Oryzias latipes: one gene and its partner. The protein of the gene in region 1 interacts with the protein of each later gene in a biochemical or structural test. Links are inferred from orthologs where the notes say so. Each region holds a gene or a part of one and is shown on either strand. Other genes may lie near its edges.

Evidence for each region. The genes of interacting proteins can lie anywhere in the genome.
Region 2: the proteins of transducin-like enhancer protein 4 (region 1) and pax5 form a complex in vitro, tested with the Homo sapiens proteins (2 studies listed by BioGRID). The link is inferred for Oryzias latipes from reciprocal best matches to the Homo sapiens genes TLE4 and PAX5.

Annotation. Positions count from the first base shown.
Region 1 is NC_019867.2:5,256,079-5,262,195, forward strand, and holds the start of transducin-like enhancer protein 4, read right to left. Parts: upstream 3,763-6,117; 5' UTR 3,274-3,762; exon of another isoform or gene 3,195-3,273; 5' UTR 3,051-3,194; coding exon 3,006-3,050; intron 2,665-3,005; coding exon 2,567-2,664; intron 1,091-2,566; coding exon 1,027-1,090; intron 932-1,026; coding exon 887-931; intron 1-886. UniProt on the Homo sapiens protein: Transcriptional corepressor that binds to a number of transcription factors. Inhibits the transcriptional activation mediated by PAX5, and by CTNNB1 and TCF family members in Wnt signaling.
Region 2 is NC_019859.2:12,745,881-12,751,210, forward strand, and holds part of pax5 (paired box protein Pax-5), read right to left. Parts: intron 2,967-5,330; coding exon 2,841-2,966; intron 1-2,840. UniProt on the Homo sapiens protein: Transcription factor that plays an essential role in commitment of lymphoid progenitors to the B-lymphocyte lineage. Fulfills a dual role by repressing B-lineage inappropriate genes and simultaneously activating B-lineage-specific genes.

The DNA.
Region 1 (6,117 bases):
AAACTTTTGCAACAAAAAACAGATACACAAAAACCAGATATGCTCTTTTTCATAAAGTAGGCTACAAATAAAGTTCTGTTTAGAGGCACAACAAAGTAATTTATTTAAAGAACCACTCAGATAAAAATTGTGGTGTTTTTAACATTTTCCTGTGGCGTTTTTTAAATTTAAGTAAATTAAGTTTAAACTTGCATTTCTGAATATTTCTTTAGTCAAATCGTTGTGAATCAGGAGCAGACCAAAAAAAAATTGCGTTAGATTCTATTTGTGACATAGAAGATCTCCCTGCTTTGCCTCATCATGATGCATCCACTCATAGACAAAACCCAAGACAGCTTTATTTTATTTTGGCTAAAAACAGCATAATCCTACTTAAATTCTCAAAAATCATACTTAAAACCTTTGAAAATTCAGACGAGCTCAAAAGAGTGGGTTTTTAATGAGACAGCTAAAAATGTAGTAGATTTAGAAATATTTTCAATAATCTTTTAATTTTTACCAATTTTGATCTTGAACAGTGGCAGACTTGATAATTCCCACTATGTTTCAAAGGGGTTAAGGTTGAAACAATGAGCTTTCTTCAGGCAAAAACCATTTAGGAGGTTCCACTTACTCAGAGTTGTACTAAAGTAAAGAGCAAAACTATTAAAACGCTTTGTAAAGAAAAGCAAAATTGGCAACCTCATTTCAGTAACTGCAAATTGTCTTTTCAGGTAAAAAGCCTTGCACGAGCATTGTGACTGTGACAATCAATAGTTAATATTTACGAATCCAACAACATCTGCAAATTAAAAAAAAAAAAAAACCTAAAAATCCTCTATTCTCTGCCTGCATCCCTCAGACACAGAAATCTTTGTGTAACAACTTTAATAAGGAGCCTTCTTACCTGCTTGTGCATCTCAATGTTCAGCCCATATGACATTTCATAGTACTGAAAGAGACAGATCAAAGTGAGGTTATCCAAACGTGTTCTGTTTGATCTTCTTTAAGCCCAAAACACCAAGGACACATCCAAGGGAGACTTACCATAACATAGTGTCTCTGCATCTCAGTTTTCTCACTGGCCAGCTTCTCACATTCCATTTTCAGGCTAAAAGGCACAAACAACATCTTAGATTAGTTAATGACCACATTATTCCACAACCAACCTAAATTAGGGAAATATATATATATATATATATATATATATATATATATATATATATATATATATATATATATATATATATTTTACTTAAAAGTTCAAATCTGTGTTTTATTGATTTCACATCCTCTTATTTTAAGTGCAACAACAAAAGAGGAGAAAAGTTGTTTAGACGGCAGCAGCTTCTTCCTGGAGACACAGGCTCTTACTCAGCAGGTGCTGAGCAGTAATTAATGGATCAATGAACAAACACACAAACCTCATCCTATATTCTTTCACTGTGAGCGAAAGCTTAAACTGCAGCATCAACAAAAAAGCAGCCGTAATGCGAATCCATTTGACACAAAAGCTTATCTCTCTTAAAGGTGGCGAGTTACCAGAAACATTTAACATGCAGGAAATTGTTTTTCTTACTTCCTCTATAGTTTTATTTTTGACCATGAAAATTATAAATGAACAAACACTAAGCATTTCCATCAAAGCTTTAGTCCAGAGGTGTAACCTTAAGGTTTGTCTGATCCATCTTTTTTCACCAAACCCCTGCCTCCGTCCTGTCAGGACTTTGCTGCTATGAAGCCGTTTGATGTGGGTGGCTGCACCATTAAGCATGCTGCTCATTATCCTCAGCTGAAACTGCTCTGCCTGGGGATTGACCAGAAACCTGGACCACTGGTTCATCTCAGTAGGTGATTGGGTAATAATTACAAGGTGCCTAGAAGTGGGCGATTATTATGCATTGGTGTCGCGCTTACGGTTAACCCCTATAGCGACGTATTTCACACTTCATCATTTCAGGTAAAATGGTATTTCACACCACTTGCACTTGGAAAGACGTGCACCCCGGGTCGATGAGGTGTACCTGCGGTTAGTCACTGATGACAGATGGACCTAAAACAAGAGGGGGGCCACTGTGTGAACTGCACATAGAGAGACTGAGGTGGGTGTTTTTATAAAATCTTCATCTTGTGAAGTTGAGTAAAAAAAATATTTCATTAAGTAGTCATAGGAAAACCTGCTTCTGTGTGGCATTTCTAGTCATTGCATCATGCATACTAGATGTGTTGGTCATCCTTCACAGCAGGGCAGCATCAAAGAAGTCCATTTATTTTCAAGTAATTTGAAACCACAACCTTTTTTTTAATTCATTTTTAAGTATTATTCTTTTTAATTTCTTGTTTCTCCAAACAAAAAAATAAGTCTATTTTTACTTTTACTACAAATCGTTTTTTGATCCAAAAAAAGATCTCTTAACATAACCTAATTTTGCTCATTAGCTGCAGTTTATTTTTAAAAATCTATATTTTGTTTTGTTGATGGTAATTAATTTAGTGTTGTTTCTTTAAATGGCACAAGCAATTACAAGCATTTCCAGTGTTTCAACGGTCTTGCAGGATGAATGCCACTCTCCATCCAGACTCTCACCTGTGATACTGGGCTTGCAGGAACTGGAACTCCTCCTTGATCCGGTCGCAGGACTCAGTTACAGTAAACTTGAATGGCTGGCCCGGCTGGTGGGGGACCTCAACCCAGATGCAACAGCGTGTGAAGAAAAAGAGCAGGAAGAACTGAGCCACCAGAGTTCAGGGTCACGGCACTCTCACACGGATGGCAATGTGGCTTACAAAAGGTCTCTGTCATTAGCTTTTTTCTTTTTTTTTTGGTTTTACCCAGTCTTGTCACACGTCAACCCCCGCACAGTCACAGTCACACGCACACAGCTGCGGACACTTGACAATGAGCGCAATTGTCTGTGCAAGGGCGCAGTGGCACGGAAACTTGATTTAAACTGATTACGCATCAGGCTCGCGGCTGTTAAATCTGCGCCGTTTTGACAAGTTGACCCTCGATGACATCTACTTACCGGATGCCGGGCCGGGGGGTACATCTTGCTCAGATCTCGAATCATTGAAGATGTTTTGTAAAGTTCATCCAAAGGGAATGTGCCAGCTCCGATCTCCCTCCTCCGTGCGTAAAATGCTAGTTTGTTGACGGTTAATGACTTTGAGCTGGTTCGGTGAAGACTGAGAACATCCTAGGAGGATTGTTGACTCTGCAAAATATTTAAAAAAATAGAAGAAAAAAAGCCCAACCAATGATGATTTTAAAAAGACCAAAGTAATCGTCCTCACAATTTCCGGTGTCTCATTATGTGCGCAAAAGTCGCAAAGCGATCCAAAAAACACTTCAACTTTTGGGCATATCTGCTTCCAACTCGAGTAAGCTTCTCCACTCGGTCCCGTTTGTTGCGCGCGTGTCGCTCCGCCGTTCCAGCTCACATCCTCGCGCAGCATCGACTGTACCAGCCTGCCCCGACGACGCCAAATTTAGAAGCAGCCAGTCGTACGAGTTTAATTACATATTCACGGCAATTACAGATGCCCGGACCGTGACGTCGGGACGTGTAGTCTAATTCATAATAGTCGATAATAAGCCGCACAGATGCGCGTTCGCCGCGAAGAACTACAACTTCCCGACTCCTTCGCGAAGCCCTCCCCCCCAAAAGCTAATGGTGTGTGGTCTGCGGGAGGAGCAGTCATTTTAACACAGCCAATAGCGAGGAAAAGTGAGCACGCTGAGCTGCATCCACCTGCCACTCATCCGCGAGGCGCCCAATCACATCCAGAAGGATTGGGGATAATGCAGACCCCCACGTGGGGGGCTTGTCTGGAGGAGAAGGATGTCGCAGAGATTGATCTGGAAACTATCTGTTGACTTATCTGTGTGCGCTTTTTACATAGAGACTTGCTGGCAGAAGCATAGTTTAAGCTTTATTCTATTGTCTTAATGGATAAAACGTGGTTCTCAGATTGAAGCGCCAAATAAAATCACATTCAAACCCAATAGATTCATCTCATATTGATGTGATCATCAGAGAGATCATAGAAAAGAATGGATTTAAAGATGAAATGATACTAATGCTAAAACAATTTATTTTCATTTGATACAATTACAGGTGTAAAACTGCAGTTCTCAAGAGTCGGTGTCTTGTTTTCTAACTCACAAAAACCCTTGATCCAGATATCTAACATCAGGCAGGCCAGAAACATAGCAAAAAAAACACAGCAAAAAAAAACAAATAGCCGAACAGCAGCCCATTTGAGCTATATTTGGTACTCATGATGAGATACAACTTGCTTTGTTGTCTTACATTCATTCATCTTCTTAACCATTTTGTCCCTTTTGGGGTCACAGGGCTGCAGGAACCTACCCCAGCCACTTGTGGGCGAAGGCAGGGGACATCATGAACAGGTCGCCAGTCTGTCGCAGTGTTGTCTAAAAAAAGGTTCTAAAACTGCCCCAACAGGTGTAAAGAAGAAAAAAATGTTGGTCCTTTCAAATATGTTACTGATTGAATGATTAGAATTCAGTTATGGAAGAAGTCTAATTAAAGACCAAATCCAATGTAAATCACGCTTTTAGTGTTTTTAACTGGTTTTTGTAATTTTTTTCTCGTGATGTAGGACCTAAATAAAATAAAAAAGTATGGTTCTGATTATTTCTTTATTAAAATCATGATGAATAACGAAACATAGTAGATGTGAGGCAGATGCTACAGTCGGCGAGACACAAGCTCTCTGCGCCGCTCCATTTTGACAACTATATACTATATACTATGTACGTCTTTGTTTTCCTCATCTGTGCTGTTATCTGGCTCAAAACTGTACGGCTGGATGGCTCCAATATTGCTCTCCATTTCTGTTTAACCGGTTATGTTAAGTTTTGGTTGTGAGGGGCTGTAAGCTAGCAAAGAAAGTGTAAACAAAGCGATCATGGGAAATAAGAGAAACAGTCAGACGCTAATTTCTGTTGGACTACTGTAAAATCTATGTCCTAGAAAACAAAGTAGTTTTTTTGGCTAAAAGTGGCATAATCATGATAAAAAAGACCACTGGGAACACCATTGCACACTCCATCATTAGATTTTTGCTATTTTGACCTAAACGACAAAGCATCCATCCGTCCATCCATCCATCTTCTTCCGCTCATCCAGGACCAGGTCACGGTGGCAGCAATCTAAGCATAGATGCCTACAGACTTCCCTCTCCCGTGCGACTTCCTCTAGCTCCTCTATCCCGAGGCATCTTCATGCCAGCAAAGAGACGTTGTCTCTCCAATGTGTCCTGGGTCTCCCCCAGGCCTTCTGCCCAGTGGGGCACTGGAACACTTCCCCAGGGAGGCATCCAGGAGGCATCCAGACCAGATGCTCGAACCACCTCAACTGACTCCTCTCAATGTGGAGGAGCAGCGCCTCTACTCCAAGCTCCTACCAAACCTCTCACCCTTTCTCTAAGGGAGTGCTGACCCACTAAATGAAAATATTTTAATATTGTTGAAGCCAATATTTAATAAAGAATCAGAGTTTCAGAAGATTTGTTTCATTTAAAAAGACTAAAAAACTAAAATCAATGGTTTGAAGTACAAATAAGTATTTATCTTTTTTTTTTCAAAGCTGCAAAACAACAAAAATCACAGTAAATGGTATAGACATTTAAAAATAATAAACCTATAATAAAATTTAGAAAGAAATGAAAAATGCTTGTAATTTTTTTTTTCAGCTCTGAATTGATTCCTAAACTTGGGCTCAGTCATCTTAGCTACTATTTCACCCACATATCTAGCTGTGTTTACCCACAAGGCTCTGTTTTAGTATGTGTCTTGCTCTTGGTTCTCCAGAAAGCCAGCCCGATGTTTTGGTTGAATCTGAGTTTGCTTTTTTGATCTGCACCAGAATTAATTTGAGCGCTCACATCTTCCCAAGCAGAATTTTCTGAGAATTTGATTAAAGTATGTTACACTTGGCTGGTGTGGATTTAGCCTGAGGGCTGTTTCACACCAGTACATTTAGCCAGACTTGGTTCATTTGGTGGAAAATACCCCCAAACTTTCACAGCTTCAGTTGGTACAATCTATTTTTATAATGCGTAGGACGGAAGTGGACCAAACCACCTGAAATGTCAAACAATCGCAACAAT
Region 2 (5,330 bases), on another chromosome or scaffold:
CACTTTTAGCGGTTTCAGTCTGTTTTTCGCATGTTGCAATCAAGATTGGGAGTTACAAGGATTGTGAATATGTGACAAACCTGTAGAATGATACAAAGTTATATTTACACTAAACGAATAAAGTCTGACTGAAAAAACGTATCCCTGCCTCTTTTGTCTCACTTACTGCACCTTATAGTTCAGTGCGCCATTTGTGTGACATAAGCTCAAAAAATAGACCAGACATTGAAGGTGCGCCTTATAATCCAGTGTGCCCTGTAGTGCAGAAATTATGATATATTTATCAGGAATGTCAATAGGACTGTCTGTCTGAGACATATCATAGCGGAGGAACCTTGCAGTTTTGCTTTCAATGGGTTGAGCGTTCATGAATAATAGATCCCACAGATGTTCGCTTAGACTGAGATTTGAATGATTTGAAGCTTTTGCAGTGGTTTTCAACCCATTTTTGAACTGCTTCTGCTTTGCATTTAACTCAAATAGCCAACAGCTACCAGGCAACATTGGTTTATTTCTTTTTTTAATTATTATTATTGTAACATTTTTTTATATTTATTTAGGTAACATGTTTTCATTTACCAGGTATACTTGTGTTTGTGGTCAAAATAAATGTCCACATTCACTCTTTGACCTCTCTTTGACCACTTTTGACAGACAATTGTTGACGGACAACATCCACAAAAGCTGCAGCTTTGGAGATATTCTAACCCCACAAATCCGTCCATCACAATTTGCCTCATGTCAAACTTACTTAAATCCATGTCTTTAAGAACATTTTCACTTGTCTGATATGTTTCACCAACTGAAAAGTGCTATTGTGTGTTATTTTCTTCTTTAGTCAGGGCAGTGACCATAGGAAGATCACTTTTGTTGTCTATCAAACTAGAAATAGTTGATAGACAACTGTGACACAATTTGAGCTTCTTATAAATTAAGTTTGAAGACATTTTTTTTATAGACTTTTGTAAAAAAAAAAGTTCACTTAGAAAGCAAACAAGTTGTATTATATTCTATATACTTACTAATCTTGCTAGTTTAGGACTCACACACACATTAGTTGGGGATTTCAGAAACAAAACTTAACATCTTAAACCAAACTGCAAAGCACAGTAGCTGATATGTAATAATCCGAGCTCATTTGCCACAACAGAACAAAGGAAAGTTGTAGGCAGGAGCCCAGGCAATGGTTCTTATCTAGATAACTTTACAGTATATGAGTGTGTCTCTATGTTTCAGATCTGAGTGTTTCGGTAATGAGCTGGTCGTTTGAATCAAGCATTTCTTGGCCTATCAGGGACTTACCTGTCTAGAGTGATTTGAAAATTCATCAGCAGTGGGACAAGGAACTTGTATAGTGCGTACGTTTGTGTGTGCATGTGTGTTTGTTTATTTGAGGGATGGAAAGACTGAAACCAAATGAGCGAGAGAGAGAAATAGCCCCTTGTGGCTTTCTGTCACCCCCCCCCTTCTCACGCCAACATCTGGTGCTGTCTCATTTACGGCAGGAGACCGTCTGTGTGATGGCTTTTTAATGCCACTGACACTGCTGCTTATACACACACACAAACACACGCCACCCTGCATGTATGAGTGCACAGACAGACACACAAAAGCATAAAAAGCATGTGAGGATTGCCAACGCACAGACAAACAAATCCTGACTGCTCTCTCTGCTTGCAACATTGATCCAGTATGACAGCATAAATGATCAATAGTGCATGAATAAACTAAGTTCTCAAGTAACTCACTTGTGAAGCACTGTTAGTAAACAAATGTGGGTTTTCAATGAAGATGTTCGAATATTGCAAATGTACAAACACACATCTCTGACACTGACATTCATAGCTTTTCTACATGCAACTATGTGGATGTTTTTCATGTCTTTTATCAAATCAAACAGTTTCAATTTTTATACTTGCTGGTCTCTTGCAGCCCATTTTCCTGTAAACAGTTATTTGTGCATATTAAAAAAAACCTGCAGTTTTGATTTTCTGGGAGAATATCATGAAACTTTGGTCCAATTTTTGCAAAGGCTTCTTAAAGGCAAACCAAAAGGAGGCAAGAAAAAAACTTAAAACATGATAGACTCCCAATTTAATTATTTTTTTTACATGTTAGGCAGGGGCAGAGGTACTGGGAGATAGCCCACCCCACACACACACACAAACACACACAGCACGACCCCACACACACACACACACACACACACATCTTTGGGTTAATATTATTATCAATATTGACAAAGATAAAAAAAAAAATCAATACATGCTTTTTTGAGCATTGCAAAAAACAATTTTTTTTAGATTTTTTAATTAAATCCTGAGCCCCCTCAAATCATTTAATATGCCCCTGTACTGTGTGTCCGAGCTGATCTGGGCTGTCAGCACCCTTGCCTTCGTTTCCTTATAGGAGGAAATTCTTATTTCTGGAAAACTCATTCATAATAACTCATCAATAATAAAACAGTTTGAAATACATGCATGTATTTTTAAATCATTTCACTTGGATTGGCCTTTCACTTTTCCATTCTCATTTGCCACAACTCCAAAGTCTTCTGCCCCCTTCCACCCCCCCCCCTATTTAAAATGTTCTAGCTCTACCACTGATGTACAGTATTGTTCAGCAAAGGCAATATAGGCATGTTATTAAGTTAAATGAAAAAGGAAGTTATTATGTTATCATTTTTAGAGCACAGAAAGTATATTTTTTGCCCATCATGATTGAACTCGTCTAGAACTTTCACAGTTACTGCATACTGAAACCTTAAAGAATGAAACTGCCTGGACTCTAATCATTAAAAGCTACAGTTTTTGCATCATAGTAAAAAAATGACTGCTCACCTTCGTCCCTTTTCCTCTTGCCAACATCAGCTGCTGAGCTGATCCCCAGGATGCCACTGATGGAGTATGAGGAACCCGCTGAGTCGCTGGTCACTGCTGGGACCTGCGAGGCAGCCACAGACGTCGCTGTAGACAAACCACATGACAGTCGGGAGAATGTCAAAGGACGTTTTCATCGTCAGATTGAGTTTGGAGCATCTATCCATCCATCCATCCATCCATCTTCTGTACAAGCTGACTCCCTGTCTGGGCCACAGGCTTCTGGAGCCCACCCTGCTACTGTTGGGTGAAGGCAGGTTATAACCTTAACAGGTCCCCAGTCTGTTGCAGGGCAACTCACACATATAAACAATTCAGAGTATTCAATTAACATTATTAAAACATGTTTTCGGACGGTGTGAGGAAGCCGGTATGCTCCAAAAAACACACATGCACAGAGAGAAGATGCAAACTTCACACAGAAATGTCCCAGCTGGTATTTGAATTAGGGGCTTCTTGCTTTGAAGAGAAATTCGCTGGCCACTACGCCTCCATGCAGCCCTGGGCTTGGAGTAATAATTCTAATTTAGATTTACTAATTTACTGATAAATCAACCCCCGTAAATAAATATCACGATGAACCTTTTCAAACTGCCATTTTTCCAATCAAACAAGAATTATAGCATCAATAAATGTCCCTATAACCATGTGACTCAAATGAAAACAACCTTGTCAGGTTCCTGACTCGTGAACATAAGAAAACTGTTAGTTTTTCAGGGATTTTTTTGAAGAATGGTAAATTTTTTCAACTAATACATTTTCCATCAGCATTTTACAAAATGTAATGCATAGAATCTATTTTATGGAGGCCCACGTGACTTACAGTAGATCTTATTCTGTTACTTCGTATACATTGTGCAGATGCACCTTCCTGAAACTGGACAGCAATATCGTTGAGGATTGGTGCTTCTCTTATTCTCTGAGTTTTGTTTTCCTAAGTCTCTTTCAAATCAGGTTTCAGTTGAGATTTTTCTCTTTATGGAGTCATCTGTTTTGTTACCCCTTTTATTTTCCCTTGTTTCGGGTGTAAGTATTGTCATTTTCTTAGGGTTTTTCTCAGTTCTCTTCACAAATGACATTTCCTACATTTAGATCCTCCATCACCACTCTTCCTGGCAAATGGAGGCAGCAGAGTCAAGCCTTTGCTGCTCATCCAGTTGTCTCCTGCTCTGATCCTTTCTCTGGAGAAGACTGTAGTTCCTTGCTGGGCAACAAGGCCACATACTTGCTATCACCTTAGTGACTCACACACAAACACTAAAATTCTCCTGACACAACTGAACACACTGAAACATACAGTCACTCACTCTTTGATCTCTTATCTGAGCCCCTGTAAGCGGACGTCGGGCTGAGTGACAGTGCGGTATCCCAGGAGGGACAGAAAGGTGTGGCAGCAGACATCCTAATCCTCTCTCCCAGCAGACCAACCCAAACACAAGAAGGCAAAACCAAAAGAGGAATAAGGAGTGAAATGACAAACTGGGGGATCAAAGTCCCCTTCAGCTGCACTCCTTCACTAACGGCATGGAGAGTGTAATGAATGCATATCCCTTTTTTTGCCATCACTTGATTTAGCACTTCAATTATCTGATTTTTCTTTCTCTTTCTTTTCACTCTTTTTCTATCAGAACGTAACGCTCTTACTCTGCAAATCCAAATGTTCAATTTTCCGCCCGGGACTGGGACCCATTTATCTGTGTAATCTGAAAGCGAGCACGTGTGCGTGTGCGTGCATCTGCTAGATGTGGGTAGAAGGCAGGAGTCAGGGAGCATCGTGTGTAAAATTAATTTAGATTAATAGACAATGTGCGATTATGAAGATATGAGAGACACCAAACACAATCCACCAGAGAGGAAAAAGGAAAAGAAGGAAGAGGGATGGTTCTTATTGCCACTCAGATAAGAAAAAAGAAATGATTCAGTCATGATTGTAATAGATGTAGGCTATTGATGGAGGGTGAAAGTGATCAAATATGCTATTTAAATATAGAGGAATGAGGACTCTTCAGAGGATCCATTGTCTAAATCATTTATTATGGCGTTATACATGTTATATACTAAAGATGTGAAAATCAGCTCAGAAATGTTGACCTCATCTTGAAGTTAATTTCATGATTTTGCACTGAATCAAGGATTCAGGACACGCTGAAATCCTTTTGAGGTCCCTGGGCTTCTGAAGTCAATGCAGGCACTGTATGGCAAAGGAGGGATGCACCTTTAAAGACCAACTCTGATTAAAATTGTGTTTTTGGTGTTTTTTAAGATGTTCTTGTGGGATTTTTCTCATGATGGAGGACATGTTTAAAGAAAATTAAGCTTAAAATTGCATTTCTGAATATTTCTTTGTTCAATTTTCAATATTTCTTTATCCGGACATTTAATTTGTTGTTGAAGTTGTGGCGTACAAAATACAATGGGCAGGCCACTTGCATCTGGCTCAAAACTGTATGG